Linked DNA regions of Diceros bicornis minor. The protein of the gene in region 1 purifies or fractionates together with the protein of each later gene. This does not show direct contact. Links are inferred from orthologs where the notes say so. Each region holds a gene or a part of one and is shown in the gene's direction. Other genes may lie near its edges.

Region 1 (7,472 bases):
CGCACCCAACCACTTGCGCCACCAGGCCGGCCCCGAAGTCTTAGATTTGGGACATAACAATCCCTTCCTTTAAAGACAAGGCAATGGGTGTAGGTATATGAAGTAAGTTTCTCATGATCACAAGATAACTTAGAAAGATGACGAGGGAGATCATGATGGACAGGGAGGGAAAATTAGAATCCTGTATTTATTTTAAAATGTTCAGGAGAAGATAACTGATTTACAATAGGGTGTTGTTTTCTTTTCTTAGTTGATATTTATCGGAAATTTATACTTATGGCCAATGACAAAATGTCTAAAGCAGCAAGCTCTAATCTTACCTTTAGGGAAGTCTTAGAAACAAGCAGGAGATTGAAGTGAGCTATCAGACTCTGGGCAAAGTTAAGTGTCCAACTCAACATTGAACTCTGAGATCAATGTGTTCCTTTCTCTCACCAGTAGCATTCTGTCACTCATGATGTCAAGACTCTCTTTGAATTCTACCACTAATGGAAGAAATGAAGTGGAGAAGGAGATATGGGGAAGCAGCAAAGGCCAAAGGAATCTCTTTGTTGGGGTTCTGGCTTCAGCCAAGGGAAGTCATGAGAAACTGGGAAGGGAAACTGAACATGGGCCATATCAAGACATCCTCCTCAAGGGGCGTGATGGTCTCTATGAGCTCACTCAGGCTGGAGAAGTTCTTTTACCACTTCACGCTGTTCTGGTTTCAGAAGTTCTTTTACCATTTCAGGAGTTCTGGTTTCAAAAACAAAAATTGAACTAGCTTAAGGAAAAACGGGGTTTGAACAACTAAGCAACAGGAACAGCTTGAGTATTTTTCCAGACCTTCCTGGGCTTTGGCTCCTTTCAAATGGCAGCTTCACTCTTTCTCACCGCAGCCTGGTTATCCCTACAAAGAAGGAAATATAGACAGGCCAACTCCGGACTTTTAGATCTCAAAAGCTACCAGTGAATGAAAGAATATGAACTCTTTCTTTCCCATGCACAAAAATCCCAGGGAAGATACTGAGCAGAAATGACCATCTCTCAACCAATCATCAGTGATGAAGGCATTTTGATTGGTCCAACTTAGAACAAGGGAGTGGGGATTGTTGTACCATGGAGGCAGACCCAAGTTAAAGATGTACAACTGAGGGAAGGACAGTTCCTAGAAAAGGGGTACTGAGCAGATAATTCCAGATATTCACCTACGGTTTGCTAAGTAACATGATGGGTTACTAGATGTGTTTTTTTCCAGGTTGCAAATAACAGCAACATATTTTAGTTAACTCAACTGATGGGGATCTATTATAAAGATCGATAGGAAAATGAAGAAATACAGAGACCCATCTCAGAAATCCTCTAGCAATCCAGTTAGCATGTGCTTTCCACATCAGGTGGCAAATGTCCCCTCCTTAGATGTTGGGAAGCAAATGGGAGCAAACACAAAAAGAATTAATTCTTGACTCTAGCTCATGGCTTCTATGTTTTCACTTCCAGTTTGCCCCCACAGAATACCACCTTCTGTCTAAGTCTCTAGGGTCTCATATTCAAATTATTTGAACTAGACTCTGCTTGGGTAGACCAGTCACCATTGAATATAGGATGCTTTTTGGGCATAGAGCTTTCTTGCCAATTCATTTTATAGGCTGCAGCTCAGATACCCAAATTTGGCCAGGTATTAATCATTGTTTCAATCAGTTAAAACCAGGAAAATGGGATCAAAGTGTATAGGAGAGTTTCTGACAAAATTTTATTTATTTTATTTTTTATTTATTTACTTTTTGTCTGTGAGGAAGATTAGCCCTGAGCTAACATCTATTGCCAATCCTCCTCTTTTTTGCTGAGGAAGATTGGCCCTGTGCTAACATCCGTGCCCATCTTCCTCTACTTTATATGGGACGCCGCCATAGCATGGCTCGGTGAGTGGTGTGTCAGTCTGTGCCCGGGATCCGAACCTGCAAACCCCGGGCTGCCGAAGCAGTTGGGCCAGCCCCTCCTGCCACAATTTTATAGCAACAAAATCGCCATAAAATTCGTGGAGGAGTAAAAGCTATCACGACAGACACAAATATATTTTAAAAAACTCAACATATTCAGAGTATTTAATGTTTCCCTCAACTTTAAGTTAAAGTACACAATCTATTTCTTCACTTCTTGCAACATAATTGTTATCAGAAACAAGACTTCTCTTTTTGATACAGAAACTTAATCCTGAATCGCTTAAGTTGTTATTCTGGGGACAGAATGGAAATTTTAAAAAGAAGAAGCTTTCATGGAAGAGAGGTGTCTGAAATTCATTAAAAGTAGTAGAAGGGGATTTGAGACAAGGATGCTGAGAAGAAATGGAATGAAAGAAAAGAAAACAGAGAGTCGAGGTGATAAAAATAGAAAACAAAGATAATCCCAAAGAGCAGTGTGCACAGTTCTGCTGCAATCAGTACCACTCTGGTGAAGTCACCATCACCTGCTCTAGGCTTAGCTTCTCCTGGCCCAAGGCTGCTTCTGGGTAAAACAGCATGCTCAACCTGTTTGGCCTCCTCTCTGTGCCTGCTGCTAGCTGTGGGCCTAAGAAAGGGAAGGCTTCGGGCTTCTGGAAAGAGGCTGTTTTTTCTCCCTGTGCTCAGCTCCTGGAAATTCTTAAGGGACAAGGCTATAGATAAAAGATGTGGAGGAGGAAGGGGAAGGTCTCAAATGATGGGTGAGGAGGCAGGTGGCTTGATTTTTAAGTTCCCCTGATACTCTTCATTTATATATTTGCTGCTTCTAGAGAAACTGAAAAAGGAAAATAATCCATACAAAGAATGCCTGTGCAAATAGCAAACCAATAACCTACAACCTCCCAGGAGGTTCTGGCCTCTGCCCAGGGTACAGTTCCAGAGCTGTAAAAGGCGAGGGATATGTACACAGATATGACCCAATCCCAGGATATTTTAGATCCAGAAGAACCCGGAAACTCCCACAGCTAGCAATGACCTGGGGCTTGGGGAGCGGTGACCTTGCAGAGTGAAAACCTGGAAGGAGCCTAGAGCTGGGTCCGCTGTCGAGGAAGCCTAATCATCTGAGGTTGGTTATCCCTGACATGGGCTTCTTAATCCTTTCAGACTGAATAGCTCAGGCCTGGGACAATTTCTAGCTCTTTAGAACCAAATCAGTAGGTTTGGACTAGAATCTACTTAATGAGAATGAACCCCAAACCAAGTCGTCCTCGAGTCCAAGGAAAAGGTGAAAAGACTCATCAAGTCTAAAATCAAAGGATGCAGCTCTACAAATGCGGAGTTTTCAGCTGACGCAGTGTTGGTCAGTTTGGAATGGTGGGAATACTGGGAGAGCCGGCGAGGCTGAGAAAAGGGATCCGGACTTCCAATCTGCAGAGGCTAACAGTCACTGAATCGGCTTTTAAACTACTCTCTGAGCGTAGAGAATGGGAGGGTGCGGGTAGAGAGTTGGGGGGAGGCTTTTAGCCGGAAGCAACGTTGTCTTTTCTTCTATTTCTAGGGAAAATCCAGTCTGTGGATGAGCACCGTGGGGCAATACGAAAAAATGGTGACTTTCTTGTTTAAAAAAGATCTTTTCTGCAAGCATCCCTCGTGTGGTCCGCGCGCTCCACGGGCCAGCTGTCCCGGGCCTCTGTTTCAGTCTGTGGCCTCGGGTGAGCCCTTTAAATCCGGCTTCTCCGCCCCCACACCCCCCCCCCTCCGGCTCCCTGACAGGTGTTTTCCCAACTCCTGAGGCCGAGGATTTTGGGGAGTGGCTGAGCCAATAAGATTTCCCTTTGGGGGGGCGGGCGAAAGGGCGTGGCTAGTTGGGTCAGAGCGGGGGCGGGGTTTGCGCGGCCGAGCCGAGCCAGGCTGGCTGCGTGAGGGTGGTTTTGTCCGCCCCCTCCCCCTTTTTTTTCTGCCGGAGCCTTATTAATTTCTCTGTGGGGCTGCAGCTGGAGACCGCGGAGCGTTGGAAGTGACGCTCGGAGCTTTAATTACCGCAGCCGCCGGACAAGCGTGAGGCAAGCTGACAGGGAAAAGGAGGACGGGATCGGGGGAGAAGCAGGACGCTTCCCCCCCCCTTCCCTCCCAATTTGGACTGGAGGTGCAGGGACACTGCAAAGGGAGCCGAACATAGCGCGGCTGGGGGGAGAGGCCGGAAACCTACCGCCTCTTTGCAATCAACTTTTTTTGGAAACCTTTTTCCCCCTTCCTTTTTATCGTGGACCAACCAGTGAGAGAGAGAAAGTGAGGAGGGAGCGAGACAGCGAAGGCTCACACGGGGAATAGCTGCACAGTCCGGCCCGGAGCGCCCCGCGCACACACTCGGGCACCCTCCCACGCGCGCGCACACTCTCCTCTCCTCGGGGCCCCGGCCCCGGACCCGCGGACCGGGCGTCCCCGCTCGGAGCCGGTCCCCCTTGCGCCCCCACGCGCGCCTGTCCCCCTTGCGCCCCCACGCGCGCCTGGCTGCGGGCTCTCCTCCGCGTGCCCGAAAGGGGATATGCCATTTGGACATGTAATTGTCAGCACGGGATCTGAGACGTCCAAAAAATGAAGCTGGCGACAGGACTGTGGGTCTGGGGGAGCCTTCTCGTGGCGGCGGGGACCGTCCAGCCCAGCGCTTCTCAGTCAGGTGGGTCGCGGTTCCCTGTCGCGCTCCCGGGGTGGAACCTGCTGCCGCCGGCTTGGCCGCGATGGTAGCGCCCGCGCCCCCTTCGCCCAGCCTGAGACCCGCTCGCTCCCGGGCGCGGAGGGACCACTCCACCGGGGCCTCATCCTGGGGCTTTCGTTCGCCCCTCTTTCTGTCCCCAAACTTACCCTCTGTCTGTGCGTGTGTTTTATGGATCGTGAAAAATCCCTCTGCGCCCCTCTCCCTTTTTCTCTCCCCCGAACCCCCTTCTTTCTGGCGCGTTTTCTATGAGCCTAAGCGGAATCTCTCTGGGCGCGCTTGTGCAGGACGTGGGAGACCCGAATCCCGAGTCAGGGGAGACGGTCCGCTCCCCGTCTGCGCCCCCGGAGGGAGAAGCCTCGGAGAGGCGCGCACTGCCAGGGCCGCGACGGACGGGGTCCCGGGGCGCTGCCGGCTGGGCTGCTTAGGAGCGCGAGGGCTGTGGGGAGAGGAGCTCCGAGAGCCGGGCTTTGCACCTGTGTGTGCTGCCGGCGGCCACCGCGCCCCCAGTCGCCCGAGCCTTGCGGGGTCAGACCCGACTTGAGCCCAGCCTGGGCAGCTGGAGCGCGGCGGGCGGGCCGGCGCGCGCGCCTCGGCCGGGGGCCCGGAACTCTGGGCCTCCTCGGCCGGCGTCCCGCAGCCCTCGCCCCGTTGACTGGAGGGGAGCTGGCTTGGCCGCCTGACTCCTTAAAAAAAAAAAAAAAAAGGCTTGACATACTTGAGCCGGGAGCCCGGCCTTCCCGTCGGTTGCTGTGTTTGGCACCAGGAAGAGTTCTTCCTGTAGTTCAACTTGCTATTGGCCGGAGTCCCTCCAACTTCTCTGTTTACTGCCCGGCGTGGCTGCCGAGCCGACCCGTCGCGCGGATGGATTGAACCCCAGGCGGGCGTGGCTGCGCCGGGTGCGCGGCCACTGTTTGCTGGAGAGCCTGCGCGCCGGTGACCCGGACAGGCAGACGGCCAGTTGACCCCGGGGAGGCAGCGCAGTGGGGCCGGCGCTCCGCGCCGCGCAGGGCTAGTGATAGCGCCTGCAGTGCGAGGGAGCTCCAAGTTTCTGACACTTGAGTTTCCTGGGGATGAACGTGGGACAGGAAAGGACGGAGGAGAAGCGGTGTCTCACGCGGCCAGGGGGGCCTTTTGGAGAGCCAGAGAGATTTCCGGAGCCATCCAGGGCTGGTCGCGGGAGCGTGGGAGGCAGCTAGGGGAGATAAAGCTCCCGGGAGTGTAGATAGGAGAGCTTCAGGCCCCCGGAGGGTGTCCTGCTGACCTCACCAAGAAAACAGCGCGCTGTAGTTCGCCGCTCCGCCCCCGCCGCCGCCGCCCCCTCCTTGCCTAGTAAATAACAAGTTACAATCACCGAGTCTTTCAGAATGACCTTCGAATGGCACAATGCGCGCTGTCTGTTCTGGCCGTTTGCACCCTCCCAATTACCCCGAAATTCTTCATGCATACCGGGTCCCGCGCTCCGGCCACCTCCGGACTGACACCAACACGGACTCGAGATTCCAAGCGGCCTCTTAGCTACATCCCTTTTTATCCCCCTCCCTACCCCGGGTCCCTTCATATTTGCCCTCAATGGGTTGATTATGCACATTGACCCATTCAAAAGCAGCGGCGACTGACAGGCAGGCTTAGCCGAGAGGAATTTCTACGAGGCGACCTACTGGGGGCTGTCTGGTTCAGCCTCAGCCGCTGGGGGACCCGGCTCCGAGTCCGCAGCAATTTGGGCTTAACTGTGCGGCTCGAGGTTGAGCTATGCCGAAAAGCCCTTTTCAGAATTTCTGCGAGGGATGTAATCCAAATTAGTTCTGCAGCTGTCCCCTTCCTCGTCTCAGGCGACACCGGCTCGCGCCCTCGCTCGTCTCTCCTCGCTTCCCCCCGCGAATTGTCAGACCCACAATTGAGCCCATTTAGAGCGCGAGGATTAGCGTGCCATTGTTGTCCCGTGTGTGGCTGTGCACTTGAAATTCTGGGGGCACAAAGGCGAGCCTCCCTGGTTCCAAACACAAAGTGATCTAGATGAAAGGGCCGCACAACGAAGAGCTCTCGCGCGCATCCCTGGTGTAACTGCAGCTCGCAGGCTAAGGAGATCCGCTGCAAACTGTAAACGCCCCCGGGGACTTCTTTTTTCATCCTACCCACTCCTACCCCGCCCCAACCCCGGCACCTGGCGGGGGAAGTTCCGCGGGTTTTAATGTTGTGCTTTTATAAAACCAAGTGACTGTCTGGTGTATGAGTGAGGCTCTGTGTGTGTGTGTGTGGCTGTGTTTGTGTGTCTGTATGTTCCCAAGTAAATACATATTGCGTGTCTCCCCTCTCGCGGTTAGCAGTCAGTAGCAGTTTGCAGGAGTTTGTTTTGGTCCAAATGAGAAATTAAGTGCGGATAAGTAAACTAAGCTGCCAGAGGGCGACAAGATGTTGAGTGAATTGCTTTTAGATGAAACAAATTAAGGAAACGAGGGAAGACAATCTGCTTCTCGCATTATTAGACACGCTTGGAGTTCAGGGGAAAGTGGCATATTTTTGAAATGCTAATTTCTTAAGCAGAAGGAATGCACCTTATTTACTGCTCTATGTGAACAGAATAAAAATATAGGGGGGATTCTGTTGTCTAGATCTAAGATATTTCTTAAAATAATTGTAAAGGAAGAGGACCTGTTTTGATTTTTTCTTCTTTTGTTTGGAAAAAAATCAGCTTTAGAGAAGATGATCTTTTAGTAATTCTGAAGCAGTTTGTCTCATTTCTAGTGATTCATTTTATCTAGAAATATTATAGCCAAAGGCCCTTTATAATGACAATTATAAAGACTTTACCACCAAAAGGACTAGTTCCAAAATTTCTG
Region 2 (7,317 bases), on another chromosome or scaffold:
GTGCGCTCAGCACAGACACTGCACCCCTCCTCTCGGTGGCCTGCAAGCGTCTCTCCCAAGGCAGGCTGAAGGACAGGGCTGCTGGGCAAAGGCAGGCAGGATTCCCCCTCCCGCTCACCCTGTCAGTCCCGCACCCCTCCCCTCACTCTATTCCCAGAAACAGAGGACAGTCACTATGCCTCAGGCTGGATGGCCTTGTGTTCTCTTGGTGACTTCACTGTAAACTGACTTCCCTGAAGAGTGGCAGAGGACAAAGGACAGAGGCAGGAAGGGTGGACAGGCTTCACCTGGGACCCAGCAGCTCCTTCCCCTCCCCGCAATTCACATGGAATTCCTCACCACACGCATGCACACCCTCCCTACATCCTGCTCTGTCTTCACAGACAAGCGTCGGGACAGCGTTTCTACAGGGAGGTACTAGGAAGAGGAGACTCCGCGAGAGGCAGAGACCTTGATCTTGGGGGTGTGATATACACTGAGCATAGACTTCCAGGAGCTTCGGGGGTGGGGGCTGGAGTGGAGGTGGGCAATCCCAGCAAAGGCAAGGTGGGGGTGAGGCAGGACATCTAACAGCCCGAGGGCTTCAGCTCTCCCCAGCGCAGATACTTCCTGGAACACCTCCAGCTTTCTTGGGAAGGCTCTGCACCCCCACCCCACCTCCCCTCTGGCTCCTGCACAACAGGAACTCTCCTTGAAGAAAGGACTAGGAGCAGAGGAAACAAAGGCATCTCTGTACCACCTCCCTTTGCCCCCAGGGACGGTTAGGTCAAGGTGACCTCAGTCTGTTCTCCTCAGGGTAGGGGCATCTGCAGGGCCTTCTCAGCTAACCCTGTCTCCAAGGTCAGGCCAGAAACAGGACTTGAGATAATTCTTCTCTTCCTCCATAAACTCGAACCCACCTTCATGTAACACACAGGTCACTCTGCCTCATTCAACAGAGCAGGGGCATGGACTGGCATGGAAATGGAGGCGCCATGCTCCGCGCCACAGAACAATTATGGGCTAGCCCAGCCAAAGGAGACACCTTCACTCTGAGGGTGTGCTGGGGTTTTGGGAAGTTGAGAAAGGCTGTACAGCCATGTGCCACACAACATCGTTAGAGTCAAAAATGGACTGAATATATGATGGTGGTCCCATAAGATTAGTACCATATAGCCCAGGTGTGTAGCAGGCCATACCATCTAGGTTTATGTAAGTACACTCTGTGATGTTCACCCAACGACAAAATTGTTTAATGAAGCATGTCTCAGAGTGTGTCACTGTTGTTAAGTGACACACAACTGTACTGAGACCCTGCCCATAGGGCCAGGCAACTTGGATCCTGGTGCCAGCTGTGGACAGGTCTCTTCCCTGGCGTAATCACAAGGGATGATTCTGGCCCTGCTCACCTTCAAGGTTGTTGCAAGGATGGGTTGAGTTGAAGAATACAGCCATGTTTGTGCATGAATGTGCCATGATTCAGTTCAGGATGTGTGCATGGTGTGCTACTACAAACTAGACTAGGGATTATTATTATTCCCAATAAAATATGGTCAGTCTTCTTTGGGGGAATGTATTCCCATAAGATTTTTTTAATCCTTCCTCATTCCCCATGTAATGCTGCGACTTGAAATTGCAAATGAGGGGCTGTTAGGGGAGGCCAGCCTGCGACCCCAGCTCAGTCTGGACGCTAGGCAGTTTCTGATCTTCCTGAACCCCACATCCTAGGCCTCAGTTTTCTCCTCCATAGTCTGGGCCTCTAAAACCACCAGGGTGCTTTGTGGTGGGAAATAGCAGAGACCAAACCAGGGGGCTGAAAGCAAAAAGAAACCCCAAATTTGACATTTCCGGGTAGTTGTGTTATCCGGAGCTGTGACCACAGCCACCTCTGCCCCCAACCCAGCTCTGACACCTTTCCCTCCTCCGCTCCCTTGGGTGGCTTCTGCTCATCCTGGGAAAGCTCCAAAGCTCCTCCCCCTCTCCCGGCATCTAAAAGGGGGCACAGAGGCCCAAAGAAATGGAGAGAAACCCAGAACCAGACAGAGACCTGGACAGAAAGAATCAAAAGGAGGAAGAGAATCAAAAAGCAAGAGGAGGAAACACGCAAAGAAGGACGCTGGGCTTCAGGGCCTCCTGGCCAGGGAGGCCAAATGGGGAAAGAGCCCGAGGTCGGTGGGGAAGAGCGGTAGCCACTGGACACAAGGCGGGGGTGGGGGGGTGGGGGGGCATGTGAGGGCTTAGCAGGCCCTAGGGCACGTCCTTTTAGGCCAAGCCCTCCAGTTTTGTTCACTGGCACCTCAATGCTAGCATTTTAGGACCCAGGACTACCCCCGCCCTAGCCCAGCCCAGCCCAGCCCAGCCCAGCCCAGCCCAACCCAGCCAGATGTTTGGTGGGTGGGGCTGCCCACTGGAGCAGCAGGCCCCTGCAGGCCCCGGGGAAGAGGCTGGAAAGTTGGCTGCCTGGAAGTGAGCAGGCAGGGTCCCCACTCTGGAGCCGGCACCCCCATATCACCCTCTCCAGATGCCCAGATGTGAGTGCATGGCATCGGTGCTCCTCTGCCCTCCAGACGTGGCTCAGAGGAAACCCAAGGAATTTCTCCCACCGACTGACTTACCTGCTGGAAGTGAGAGGTTGGAGGGCACAGGTGCCAAGTCAGACCCACCCACCATGTGGCAGTGGGTTTGGATCTGCCACTGACAGGCTTTGTGACACTGGCCAAGGTACTTTCTCTCTCCACCCTCTGTTTCCCCATTTGTAAAATCATCTTTACAGTTATTTCCAACTCTGACACTTGACTCTCATCCCAGGTGACCCCCTAGCTCTGTGTGTCTCACCCTCCCCTGCCAAATCCACTGCACAGAGTGGAGGAAGAAGGGAGGGTGGGAGAGGTGTGCTCTCTCCTCCCTAGGGCTCCCCTGCAGAACACCTAAGGAGCAAGGTTTCCCCAGTCCTTTGCAAACCCCCTTATGGTTTTCAATTCCTTTCCTCATGATCCTGCCAACTAAGAGACTGTGACCACACATGGCAGTGGGGGGGGAGGACCCACACATTCCAGCTTCTGCAGCTTTAAACTTCAGTTTTTCTCTGAGGTAAAAAGAATGAAAGTGGGGGAGGTAGTGAGGGGCAAGGAAGGTAGGGGAGTGGATGGGGGGAGGGAATGGAGAGAAAGGGGCAGATCCAAGAAGGCATTAGGGAGGGAGGGAGGAAGAGGAAAATGATTCCCCCCAGGACACATGGTCTCAGCCCAGCTGGGCCTTGAGTGAGCAGCCAGGCTGTCTCCTCCATTTGTGCTGCCAATACCAGCTGCCAGGCAGAGGGGAGGCCCAGAGGAGAGGGAAGCTGGGCAAAGGGGATGGAAAGCTTCCAGTCTGGCCTTGCCCAACACCGCAGGCCCTGCAGGCTGTCAGTGAGGGGGCTGTGACCCAGGAAAGGCTCAGGGAGGGTGTTCCCTGCTCTGGCAAGGCCCATAGGCAGTCGTGAGCTTGTGAGGATTCAAGATAGCCCTCCCTGGACCTTTCTGAAGGTAGGACCGGCCTCAGATGTGACTGGGCTGGGTGAACAAAGCGGCAGGGTCATTTATGGATCATACTCTGCTGACTAGGCCATGTGCCACAGTGTGACTCTCGGCAAGCCCCTTCCCCTCTCTGGACTTCTGTTGCTTATTTGCAAAATTTCAGGAGGTTGGGTGAGTGCACGGTGGTGGGAGTAATGGAAGGAGGGGAGCTGGGGCCCTGGGAGCGAGCTGGCTTCTCTGGAATCTTCAGTCTTTCCCCTCCCTATGGCTTTGCCTCTGAGGTCACAAAAGCTGTGTCCCCAACCCACATAAACACACACGCGCACACACATTTACTCTTTTAATCTAGAGACTCAATAGATGACAAGCGCCAGAACTGGAAGGATATCCAGCTAGTCTAGCCCTTGCCTCCTCCCTTTTTACAGATGAGAAAACTGAGGCCCTGGTTTGGGATTTCCAGAACCCGGGATTTCCCGGCTCTGCCACCCCCGTCCTCCGGCCACCCCTGCGCCTCTGGCCCGCCACAGTCCCGGGCCGCAGGCCGCTGGGACTCCCGGGGGAGCCCGCCGTCGGGGCAGTCCCCACGCCCAGCGCCACCCAGCCTGGCCACCCCGGGGCCGGCCGCGGCCGCCGCTGCGCACTCGCCGGGGAGCCAGCGACCGAGGGCGGAGGCAGGGAGGGAGCGACAGCGGCTGGGAGGGGTGTTGGCGAAAGCTCGCGCGCTGTGTTTGGTCTATCGGAGGCAGCTGACCTTTGAGGAGGAAATCGCTGCTCTCTGCTCCTTCCTGTAGTAACAGCCGCCGCCGCCGCCGCCAGCAGCCCGGGCCGGGAGCGAGAGCCGAGGGGCGGAGAGCCGGTCCCGCCGCCGGACGGCTCGGCGCGACCAGGTGGGTGGCCCGGCAGCGCGTCCCGGGCGGCGCGCGCGGCGAGGGGGCACTCGACTCCTGCCCTGGCCCCCGGGACCCGAAGCCCGACGGCTGGGCGGGGTGCAGGGGACCGTCCCGGGACCGAGAGGGAGTTTCGGCGCAGCGTGCAGCGCGGACCAGGAACGAGGGACGCGGATGGAGGGAGGGGGCCGAGGGTGGGCGCCGTCCTCGCCCGCAGTGGGCAGGGGGCGCTGTTGGGATCAACAGTGGGAGACCATGGGGCACAGCTGGGGGGGCAGCCGAGGAGAGGGAGAGCGTCTGTCTCCCCAGCCCTCTTTTCTAACAACCCCAGACACGTGCCCGCGGGGATGAGTCGTCCAGTGGGAGCCGTCGGTGGCGTTGCCCTAACTTTGGGCTAGATTATCCCTCCTTCCCAGAAATTGGGAGTCGGGGTTCCAGGCAGGGTAGGGGGGATTCTTGTAGCCCTCCCCAGAGGGCCCGTGGGCCTCTGCCAAGTTTCTCTTTCAGTTTCCAGCTGTCCCCCCTCTGGGGAAGCCCCAGTGGGGCTAGGGGAGAGGAAGAGGCGGAGGGCACCTGACTTTTGAGAGCCCCTCCCCAAGCCTCAGCAGGTTCCTTGTTGGAGGGAAGGGCAGCCCCCCCCATCTTTCTTCCCGCACAGGAAAGCGTGTCTGTAGGAGGGGAGGGGCATGGCCTGACCGCGGTCCAGGGATGGGTGGGCATGGCAGGGCCACGGGCAGGCCCAGCCCTCGCCTCTGCCGAGGAGACGAGGAGGGGCCTCTTCAGCTCTGTACTCGCCCTAGGTGAACGGACATGGCGGGCTGGATCCAGGCCCAGCAGCTGCAGGGAGATGCGCTGCGCCAGATGCAGGTGCTGTACGGGCAGCACTTCCCCATCGAGGTCCGGCATTACTTAGCGCAGTGGATCGAGAGCCAGCCCTGGTAGGTGCCCCTGCCCTGCGCCTTCCTCTGCGGGTCCCTACCATCCAGGCCCCTTGGCTTTTAGGTCTCCCCTTTGTGGTTTGGTGTGATTCTGGTCCTGTCTATTCCTCTTTGTGCGGAAGGGGCGGTGTCCCTGGGAAAGGGGAAGAGAGAAATGGGACCCTGGGAGGGGAGAGGGGATGTTGCTAGACTGTGATGCCTGTGGAGATGCCGGGAACAAGTCTTGTGGGCTCTGGAGCGCCCTTAGTCAGGAGCCTGGGATTTCCATGTCCCTCGTGGCGCTTGACCTGCTTGCCCGAGGAAGTGCCACAGTAGGCTTCTCCCACTGCCCTGCCCCAAGGGATGCCATCGACCTGGACAATCCCCAGGACCAAGCTCAGGCCACCCAGCTCCTGGAGGGCCTGGTGCAGGAGCTGCAGAAGAAGGCGGAGCACCAAGTGGGGGAAGATGGGTTTTTACTGAAGATCAAGCTGGGGCACTATGCCACGCAGCTGCAGGTGGGTGTGCGCTCGGAGCCATCTGCAGGGAAGCAGTGTCCGCCTTCTCTTTCCAGCATCAGAACCCCTGGGTTTTTTCCTGGCTTGGCCACTGACTCACCATGTGACCCTGAGCTTATCGGCAACTTTTCTGTGCTTCAATTTCCCCCACCCCCTCTTTCTAAATCAGACCTGTCAGATTCCTTTAGCATATTATGAGGCAAGGGGTGGGGCGTGTTTGTCCCCAAGAGAAGGGGGATGGGTGAAATGCCATTTGGGACAGATCAAGCAGATCAAGCAGGAGGGCTGGAAGTAGTCAAGATTCCTTTGTTAGAGAAAGGAAGACTGACAGGTTCTAGAAATGAGAGAATGAGGCAACGAGTCATCCCTCTTGGGACTCTTCTAAAGGTAGGAGAGCTGCTGAACTGGGGCGGGAGAGGAGCAGAAGTGCCCTGGAGGCGAGAGCTGGATAAATGAACCTTGAATTCAGGGTTTAGATGTAACATTTAGTTTCTCCTTCACGTGGAAGGTGAGGAGAAGGAGTATAGGGAGAGAGGAAGTTTTTGCAAAGCAGGAAAGGGGTGTGGGTGGTAATCATAGTCAAGCAGTCAAGCATTTGGAACTCACTTGTATTTCTCAGAAAACCCTTCTTAAATACAAGCAGCAGGGTGCCAGGGAAATAAAGTCCATCCCAGAAGAAGGAGGAAACAGGAGAAACCTGGGGGCAAGAGGGAAGCAAAATAGGAACCCAGGGCAGGAGTATGGTGGAAAGTACCTTGACCTTGGCATTAGATGCCCTGAGTCCTGAGTCATCTGCTCACTCATTTGTTTGCCTCTAGACAAGTACTTAACCTCTCTGAGCATCAGTTTTCTCATCTGTGAAATGGGGATAATAGTTTCTGCTTATGTCATAGGATTTCTATGCTGTGAAACTCAAAGGAGATGGTAGATTGGAAGTGTTTGTAAACTGTGGGTTTCTAATGCCCTGAAAACCCAATGTGAAGATCTGGGAGGGGAAACGAGTCAAAGAGAGATAGAGGCAACTGGTGACAGTTCCTGAGGCTTCCCTGGGAAAGCTGAGGCAGGGGCTAGAGGGGAGGGCGGGGTGGGCATGGCACTGCAGAGGGCGGCCACTGGTAGCTGCTGTTGGATTCTTTCAGAACACGTATGATCGCTGCCCCATGGACCTGGTCCGCTGCATCCGGCATATTCTATACAATGAACAGAGGCTGGTCCAAGAAGCCAACAATGTGAGTGTCCCATGGGTATGGGGAGAGAAGTTGGGAAGTTCTTCCATATGCCTTTCTCTCCAGACAACTGTGTTTTATAAAGACAGGCAGGAGAGAGCACCAAAGAGCTGAGAGACATGAACATGTGTGTAATGGACATGGACGTGGACGTGGACAATGGGCATGTGTAAGAGGCAATATTACATGCAGGTGTAGAGTGACCCCCTGGCTTCAGTCCCTGGCTCTACCACTTAATAACTGTGTGACTTGAGCAAGTTACTTAACCTCTCTGA
Region 3 (7,990 bases), on another chromosome or scaffold:
AATTCTATCTTAATTTAAAAAAATCCAAAATGACAGTTTGAGTACAAGTAGATGATGTAATGGAAATATTAATTTTCTTAGGTGTGACATTGATATTGGGGATATGGAAAAAAATGTCCTCATTCTTAGGAGACAGCTGTTGGAGTATTCAGGGGTCGACTGCCTTCATGTCAGCAATTCACTTTCAAATGGTTCAGCCCACACAACAGATTCTTTCTCTTTAAAGCAAATATGGCAGAAATATATCAATTGTTACATCTAGGTGTGTGTGTGGTCGTGGCGGGGGGGAGATAGACATTCATTGTACTCTTCTCTCAACTTTTCTGGATGTTTGAAAATTTCATAATAAAACATGTTGGGAAAAAGGAAAAAAATAGATCGCCAGAAAATAAAAGGACAGATGTCATCTCATAGAAAATAAAAGGATAGTAATATATTTAAGTGGAACATATTTAGCATTATGAAAAATTCATTTCTTTTATCTTATTTTTCTCACTTTCCCATGGAGGAGTGAAAACCTCTTGGCATCCATCTGAGGACCAGCACTGGGGACCCCCTGACCTGGAAAGGCAGCTCACAGGGCAGTTGGCTGAGAGCAGGAATCTGGGGCTAATGCCCTTATTTGGATTCTAATCTCAGCTCCTGCTGGCTCTTGCTCACCCAGTGACCTTGGGCAAATTACTTAGATTCCTTGTGCTCCAGCTTCCTCATCTGTAAAAAGTGGACTGATAATAATGGAATAAGGAAAGTTAAGGGACTTGGCCACTGTCACACACAGCTTGTAAGTGACATTAGCTGAATTGGGTTCCAAAGATAAATTACAGGAAACCCTCCCCAAAACTCTCTCCATCTCTGCAGACCTATAGGTCTTAGTTCGAACGTCTTTTAGAACCCTCAAGCCAGAGTTCTTTGTGTGTCTGTTGGTTTTATCCTAATTGATTTCTGGCTACAGGGTGTGTTTCGTTTTTCTTGGTTTCTCTCAGAGACATAGCATAATTTTTTTTCATTTGTGTGTTTGAATGAATAAGTAAAATACAAACGTACCTCCCTATGTAAGGCCGCATTGACCAGAAAGAGTTTTGCCTCGACTCCTGTTCAATATTCTTCCTTATTGGTTACCTCCCATGAGAAGTTTATTAGAAGAGACAGAAGCTTCCCAGGTCTCATTAGCATATTGAGTTTGGCATCAAAACATGAGGCTTAATTTCCCAAAGAATGATGACTTAAGTTGAAGCAGGTTGTGCAGAATTGTTGGCGTGTTTGTGCGCATGTAGGGGAGGGAAATGACCATCATTGCAGTAACGACAATGAACTAAAGAAACGTGGCTCCAGGAACGTTACACTCAAACTTGTGCCCGCTGCACGTGTAAGGCCAAACTGCTTTCAGCAAAAGCTGATCAAATCTTGTCATCATAACGTCAGTTATTGCAGAAGTGAGCAATCAGTAAGAACAAATGCAGAAATCCTTCTCAGGAATTGGCTTTAGCCTTTAAAATCGTGGGCAGACAGGGCCATCTGCTGTGTGGTTGTATTACCACACATTGAGATGTTTTATTTTAACTTCCTCACTAATCACAATGTGATTCAGCTGGCTTTACAAAAACAAACCATTCTTTAGGTTTTCTTAGGGTTACCTGTCGAGGACCCTGGCTCATTGCCAAATTTAAGGCTCCTCAAACCCATAATAATCTTATAAGCTAAACAGGGCTCTCCCTTTGATATATCCTTGTCAGACCAAAGTCAAAGCCACGAGCAAGCTCAAGTCCAAGAGAAGCAGAAACTACGACTAGAGGAAGCCAGTAAGGGGAGAGCAGAACAACATAGCATGTGAGCAAAGAGGAAGGAGCAAGAGACAGGAAACCTACCAGAGACAAAGAAATGGGCTGTCCTTGGGCTCTCTCAGGTCCCGATAACATCCTAATTTAGCTCAGGTGCACCCTGGTCATAAACTTTTGAATGAACCTCTGTTGCTTGCAATCGAATAAGCAAAACTAAAACTGTGTCAGTTTTAATGAAGCCAAAAGACTATGAATCCTAGAATCTGGCATGCCTACTCTCATGAATCCCCAAATACCTGTTTGTCTCCTGTCTTTAACCTTCTGATAGAGGCCACGGATAAGATGCAGGGAGAGAGGAATAAAATGAGGTCATCATAACCATTTGGGACCATTATTTGTGTCTGGGCCACCCAGCCAGACTTCTGTCAGCCCATGTCTCTCACCTGCGGAGGGACTAGGAATTGGAGAGGCAGTGCCCTCAGACAGCCTTAGAGAACTTGGTGATCAGAACCAGCAGGGTCTGAGTACCACCTTGTGAATCTCTGGCCAGAAACGGGCTCTTCACTGCCTTAATTAAATCCATATCAGTGTTTGATTCATGAGTTAGTAATCACCTGACTCACTGTCATTGTGGATCAGTGGTTCTCAGGTAGGGGCAGAACTGGCAACATCTGGAGACATTTTTGGTTGTTACAGCTGGGGGAGGGGGACATTACTGGCATCTAGTAGGTAGAGGCCAGAGATGCTGCTAGACATCCTACAACGCACGGGACAGTCCCCTTCAACAAAGAATTATCTGGCCCCAGATGTCAGGAGTGCTGAGGTTGAGAAGCCCTGGAGGGAATTGTGAAAGTGGTAGGAATAGCAGAGGGCTGACCCAGAAGTTGAGAATTCTTTCAAGGAGACCACTACCCAGTCTGAGGAAGACACCATACTATATCACTACCTGTGGCCTGATGCCAAGTCACAGGCAACAGGTGCCAGTAGAGGCTCTGGTGAGGGCAACCCAAGATAAATCTAAGCAGTCAATCCTTGAGAAGCCGAGCAGAGGCTACGGATAATGATCGGAGAAACTGAGGCTAATCAGTTTGACTCCATTCATCCTCCTCCTCACCATTAGGGGACTTCGTGACCTAATTTCCTATTCATATCAAAGGAATAAGTTGGCTTTGGTGACGGGCAAAGGATTAAGCCAAGGTGAGCAGAAGAGCAGCAAATTAATGGTAGCTTATTTAAATGCACATGGATTTGGAAAGAGTGATAATACCAAAGGTCTGAGGTGGGATAATGGGCCTGTTAACTAAAACATGCTTTTGTTAAGCTAGCTTTTGGTTGGGCAACTTCAAAGGAAAGTGAGTGTCTCCCCTCAAGAGCATGCAGAATGGGGGGCGGCCCCATGGCTTACCAGTTAAGTGCACATGCTCCGCAACTGGCGGCCAGGGGTTCAGATCCCCGGCGCACACCTACGCATTGCTTCTCTGGCCACGCTGAGGCCGCGTCCCACATACAGCAACTAGAAGGATGTGGAACTATGACATACAACTATCTACTGGGGCTTTGGGGGGAAAAAAAGAAAAAGGAGGAGGATTGGCAATAGATGTTAGCTCAGAGCCAGTCTTCCTCAGCAAAAAGAGGAGGATTAGCATGGATGTTAGCTCAGGGCTGATCTTCCTCACACACACACACAAAAAAAGAGCATGCAGAGTGGGAATCCCAAAGCAATATAAATTTCAGGACTTGAAGAAGACAAAAAGCAGCATTGCCCCCCATCCCCAACCTTTTAAAATATGTAATGTTGCTGATGGAGGCTTGCATTCTTCTGAGACCTAGGCAGCAGAAATCACCGTCAGTAGATTTCCCTGTAATGCTGAGCTGGGGGAGCAAGCTCCAAGCAGGGAATGTTCTGGAAAACTTCTTAGGCAAGGCCAAGTTGAAGATAGGCTTCTGGTTTTTGACACAGGATGTTTATAGGATAATTGTAGGTTCTCCAAGAGGACTTAAGAGAGGCCACCTTGCAAACCGGGAATTTTGTTTTGAACTACGTTGATTTATAGAGGGCCAAACCTAAGGAATCACATTCATGCACTCATTTGTTTATTCACTTCATTCAATAAACTTGTAAGTCTAGGCATTTTACTAACTGCTAGCCATAGAAAGAAGCATAGGGCCTGCCTCCTGGCATAGCGGTTAAGTGCGCGTGCTCTATTGCTGGCCACCTGGTTTGGGATCCCCAGCACACAATGACGCACCACTTGCCAAGCCATGCTGTGGCAGCGTCCCACAAAAAGTGGAGGAAGATGGGCATGGATGTTAGCCCAGGGCCAGTCTTCCTCAGCAAAAAGAGGATTGGCATGGATGTTAGCTCAGGGCTGATCTTCCTCACAAAAAAATAAATAAAAATAAAAAAAACGGAAAGAAGCATAGATGTGGTTCTCTGTCAGTTTAGTCGGGAGCACGCAGACATAAACAACTGTAATACAGCAATAGGGTCTCAACTGCCAGTTATTCCCCTGCTCTGCTTTCCTCTAATTCCACACTTCACAGAGGTGCCCAGTACTTGAAAGAGAGAGTCTAGGAATTCCTGGCCCAGAATTAAGCGCTCTATAAACGTTAGTCCTTTATCATCAACAGAACTATGCTGAGGCTAGGAGAAACTTCTTCAAGACTGGGTCATCAGAACGTGCGGGAATTTGCATTTTTAACGTTCTGCACGTTTTATAACGTTGTGTTTCCAAGCACAACAAAGTTTGGGAATCATCCTTCGTGGTGGGAAGCTCCGCAAGGTGTTTGAGCAGAAACGTTCACTATTCATAATGCCCTAAAAGAAGCAGAGACTAGAGCCCATAAAACCAGTATCAGCATTTCCCGTCTCTGCTCCACGGTCTGGTCGGGCGGGGCCTAGACCACATTTCCCAGGATGCCCCGTTGCTGGAGCGCCTGCCTGATTGGGCAGAACAATGCGGAAGTGATTACAGGTCGCCCAGCAACAGGCGGAGTCCAGGACCGTGACTGGATGCCCACGCCCCTTCCCTGAGGCGGGGAGCTTGACGAAGCTCAGCTCCATCTGCAGAGTCACACAACGTTCCCCGGGTTTTACTTCCAGCCGAGTGGCAGTGCGGCCTCCTCGGCGCTTTCACCGCCGTCTTTCTCAGGCCCCGCCCCTTTTTACGCTGGAAGCTGTGAAACTCCGGAGACTGGATTACGGCTACCGAGTGGGCTGAGCGGCTCTGGGCGGCGTAGTGCGCAGGCGCGAGCGTTTGGATCCCGACGCGCGGCGCTCGGTTGAAGCGGGAGTGAGTTCCTAGGCGCCGAGACCCGGCAGCGGGCGGGCGAGCGAGCGAGCGTCCGAGCTTTGCCGCCATGGCAGCCCTGCAGTACGCGGGCCTGGACGACACGGACAGCGAGGACGAGCTGCCCCCGGGCTGGGAGCAGAGAACCACCAAGGACGGCTGGGTTTATTATGCCAAGTAAGGGGGCGGCAGGGGGGCCCCCGGGCCTGGAACGCACCTGGAACCTGGCCTCACGTGCCTGGACCTTGCGCTGCCGTCGGCCGCCACTTGCGCGGGGAGGGGCGCGGGCCTGCGCTCCAGGCTGGCGAGGGCGGGCGAAGCGGCGGTGATGGTTAAAGAGCTTCAGAGGGAAGGCTCCCAGGGTCCCGGCCCCTCTGGGCCGTGGGTCAAGCCGGGGTCGCCTGGCAGCGCTCTGGCGCGCCCTCTGCTGTTCAGGAGGCGGCGCTGCACGGTGCAGTGATAGCAAAGCAGCCTTATCCCCTCCCACCAAAAAATCAGAACAAAAATGCGGTTGTCCAGCTCCCTCCTTAAGGGTCTGGGGTGGGGACCTAGGAGTATGTATTTTTAACAGATGTTCTAATATAGCTCTGTGTGTATATATATATATGTGTGTGTGTGTGTTGTATATATATATAAAGTATGGCTTCACAATAGTTTCTGGGAAAGTTTTGGAAACACCAGCAGACCCTTTCTCCTATCACTTACTCTGTGACCTGGGACCAATGAAAGAACGCTCAGTTTTCCCATCTGTAAAATGGGTTGATGGAGGTTTGGTTCAGGCTCTGTACATAAAGCATTTAGCACAGGTCTAATAAGTACTCTATGCTCAATCACTATTAACCTGTCCCGCTGTTTCTGCAGCTGTGACAGCACCTCCTAGGCCTGATATTTGGATTGCCTGGGGACTGTCATAAATACAGATTTCAGGTCTTCACAGAGACCCTCACACAGCAGACACCCAATGTGCAGAATGTGTATTTTTTAAGTTTTTCAGATGAGGCTGGTTATCACTTGGCTTTGAGGAACATGGATGTAAATCAGGGATTTTCAACATCTGGGAAACTTAAAAAATATCTTTTCCTGGGTCACACCTCTAGAGAGTCTCATTTAATTGGTCCCCCTCCCCCCAATGGTATGTTGTAAGATCTTCCCAGGGGTCTCATCTACCCAAGGGTGTGAACCACTGCTGCGCTTGGTGGCTTGGTAGAAAGAAAAACAGAAAAAAAAAGACCTGGTGAGTTCATTCATTCAAGACACATTGGGATCTTATCACGTATCAGGCTCTTTGCTGGGCGCTGGTTATACTGAGATGGATAAGACCCAGTTGTCACCCTTAATGAGTGTCCAGACTTATCGGGAAGAGTGACACATAGTAGGTGGTCCCGGTGCAGCGTGTGTAGTGGGTGCATGCAGCGAGTGGGTGGGTGGGTGAGGTGGCCTGGGAGGCCTGGCACGTGAGGTGTGCCTTAGAGCAGCAATTGAGGTGGGCAGGTCAAGGGGGCAGGAGGGCCCCAGGTAGAGGAAACAGAGCAGAGGCCCCAGGCGTGGCCTGTGTGGCGGTGCGGGACCGTGAAGACTGAGGCAGGGGAGGAAGGACGCAGTTTACGGAGGCCCTTCCGCCTCCTGGAGGAGCTAGGGTCTGTCGTCACGACCCAGGAGTCTCCTGAAGGTTTGGAGCCAGGGAGTGAGGAGGTTTGTGTCTAGAAAGATGATTTCTGCTCTGGAGAATTGAAGGGACAACTGGGCAGGGAGCCCTTAGGCTGATGCGGGCTCCGGGCAGCTCCTGAATGGGCCCTTGTTCTTCCCTCTGCCTGGAGATCTTTGCGTGAAGAGCTTTGTCATCCCTGGGAGCTGAGCTTAAACGTCACAGCCCGGGAGAGCTTCCCTGGCACCCCCACCCCCCCACCCCGCACCCCACCGCGCACCCCTCACCCACCGCCTGTTGTCTTGTCTGTACTTATCTTAGCCATGCTCTTCCTGGTTTGCGGCTCTCTCTCCCCCTTGGATTGTAAACTTCATGAGGGTGGCGACCTTTTCTTGTTCACTGGTTGCTTAGTGCCCGGGAGCCGTAGAATAAATCCACGTGGAATGAGTATATTAGCTCATCTAGTGAAGGTTTACTGTGGCCTCCATGGGCAGGAGGCACACTCAGCCCCGGGAACACAAAGATGCACATGACCCACTTCCTGGCTATTGGAGCCCTTCTCTGCCTCCCACTCTCTGGGGCCTTTCCTTGTTCAGGCCACTTGCCCCGGAGGCTCCCTGGCTTCCCTTCAGGTTTGCTTGGAGCCTGGCGTTAGGTCTGGAGGCTCCCTGTGCCGGCTCGCCTTGCCTTGTCCCCTCTGCACCTTATGTTGTACCACCTTTCTCACCTGCTTCCTTCCGGCATGGTGTCCAGAGTCTGGGCTTGGGGCTGTTCCTCCACTAAATAAGGTCTGCACACCCCAGCCAGCTCCTCTGAGAGCGTCTGAGGAGCCCATGGCCGGGGGACTCAGTAATGCATATATCGTCTCCAGAAAGCTCCCCCCACCAGTGTTTGATGTCTCAAACTGGCCTGTCTGGCCCCACTGTTTACACTGACTGTAGTGACAAGGCCTGGCTGGCTCCCATCTGGGGGCACCTCTCTCCAGTCCCGCTGGCCCTCTGTTCTTTGGCTCTTGGAGCTGAAGGGTGCCTCTGATAGATCCTGTCCCTGGATTCCCAGCAGTCTTCCTTGATCTCTCCTGACCTGCAAGCATCCTGGCCCTTCTTTTCCCTCCTAACTCTGGAAGGGCCACTTGTCCTCTTGGGGTTTGGGAAGCTTAGCTAGTGGGCTTTCAGAAGATGACCCTTCAAATCATTCCTTTTTCCCAATGGTCTTCCTCCCATTGCAGCAGGGCCGCGCCCCAGGATAGAGGCTGTAGCCCCCAGTGAGACCTCTGG

What was found.
Region 2: the proteins of ERBB4 (region 1) and signal transducer and activator of transcription 5A purify together in Homo sapiens (affinity purification with western blotting; 3 studies listed by BioGRID, with this or other methods). This does not show direct contact. The link is inferred for Diceros bicornis minor from reciprocal best matches to the Homo sapiens genes ERBB4 and STAT5A.
Region 3: the proteins of ERBB4 (region 1) and WWOX purify together in Homo sapiens (affinity purification with western blotting; 4 studies listed by BioGRID). This does not show direct contact. The link is inferred for Diceros bicornis minor from reciprocal best matches to the Homo sapiens genes ERBB4 and WWOX.

Annotation. Positions count from the first base shown.
Region 1 is NC_080776.1:3,746,228-3,753,699, reverse strand, and holds the start of ERBB4 (receptor tyrosine-protein kinase erbB-4), read left to right. Parts: upstream 1-4,439; 5' UTR 4,440-4,514; coding exon 4,515-4,596; intron 4,597-7,472. UniProt on the Homo sapiens protein: Tyrosine-protein kinase that plays an essential role as cell surface receptor for neuregulins and EGF family members and regulates development of the heart, the central nervous system and the mammary gland, gene transcription, cell proliferation, differentiation, migration and apoptosis.
Region 2 is NC_080757.1:41,439,963-41,447,279, forward strand, and holds the start of signal transducer and activator of transcription 5A, read left to right. Parts: upstream 1-4,285; 5' UTR 4,286-4,381; intron 4,382-5,181; 5' UTR 5,182-5,191; coding exon 5,192-5,319; intron 5,320-5,659; coding exon 5,660-5,816; intron 5,817-6,955; coding exon 6,956-7,045; intron 7,046-7,317. UniProt on the Homo sapiens protein: Carries out a dual function: signal transduction and activation of transcription. Mediates cellular responses to the cytokine KITLG/SCF and other growth factors. Mediates cellular responses to ERBB4.
Region 3 is NC_080771.1:28,083,788-28,091,777, forward strand, and holds the start of WWOX (WW domain-containing oxidoreductase), read left to right. Parts: upstream 1-4,899; 5' UTR 4,900-5,138; coding exon 5,139-5,245; intron 5,246-7,990. UniProt on the Homo sapiens protein: Putative oxidoreductase. Acts as a tumor suppressor and plays a role in apoptosis. Required for normal bone development. May function synergistically with p53/TP53 to control genotoxic stress-induced cell death.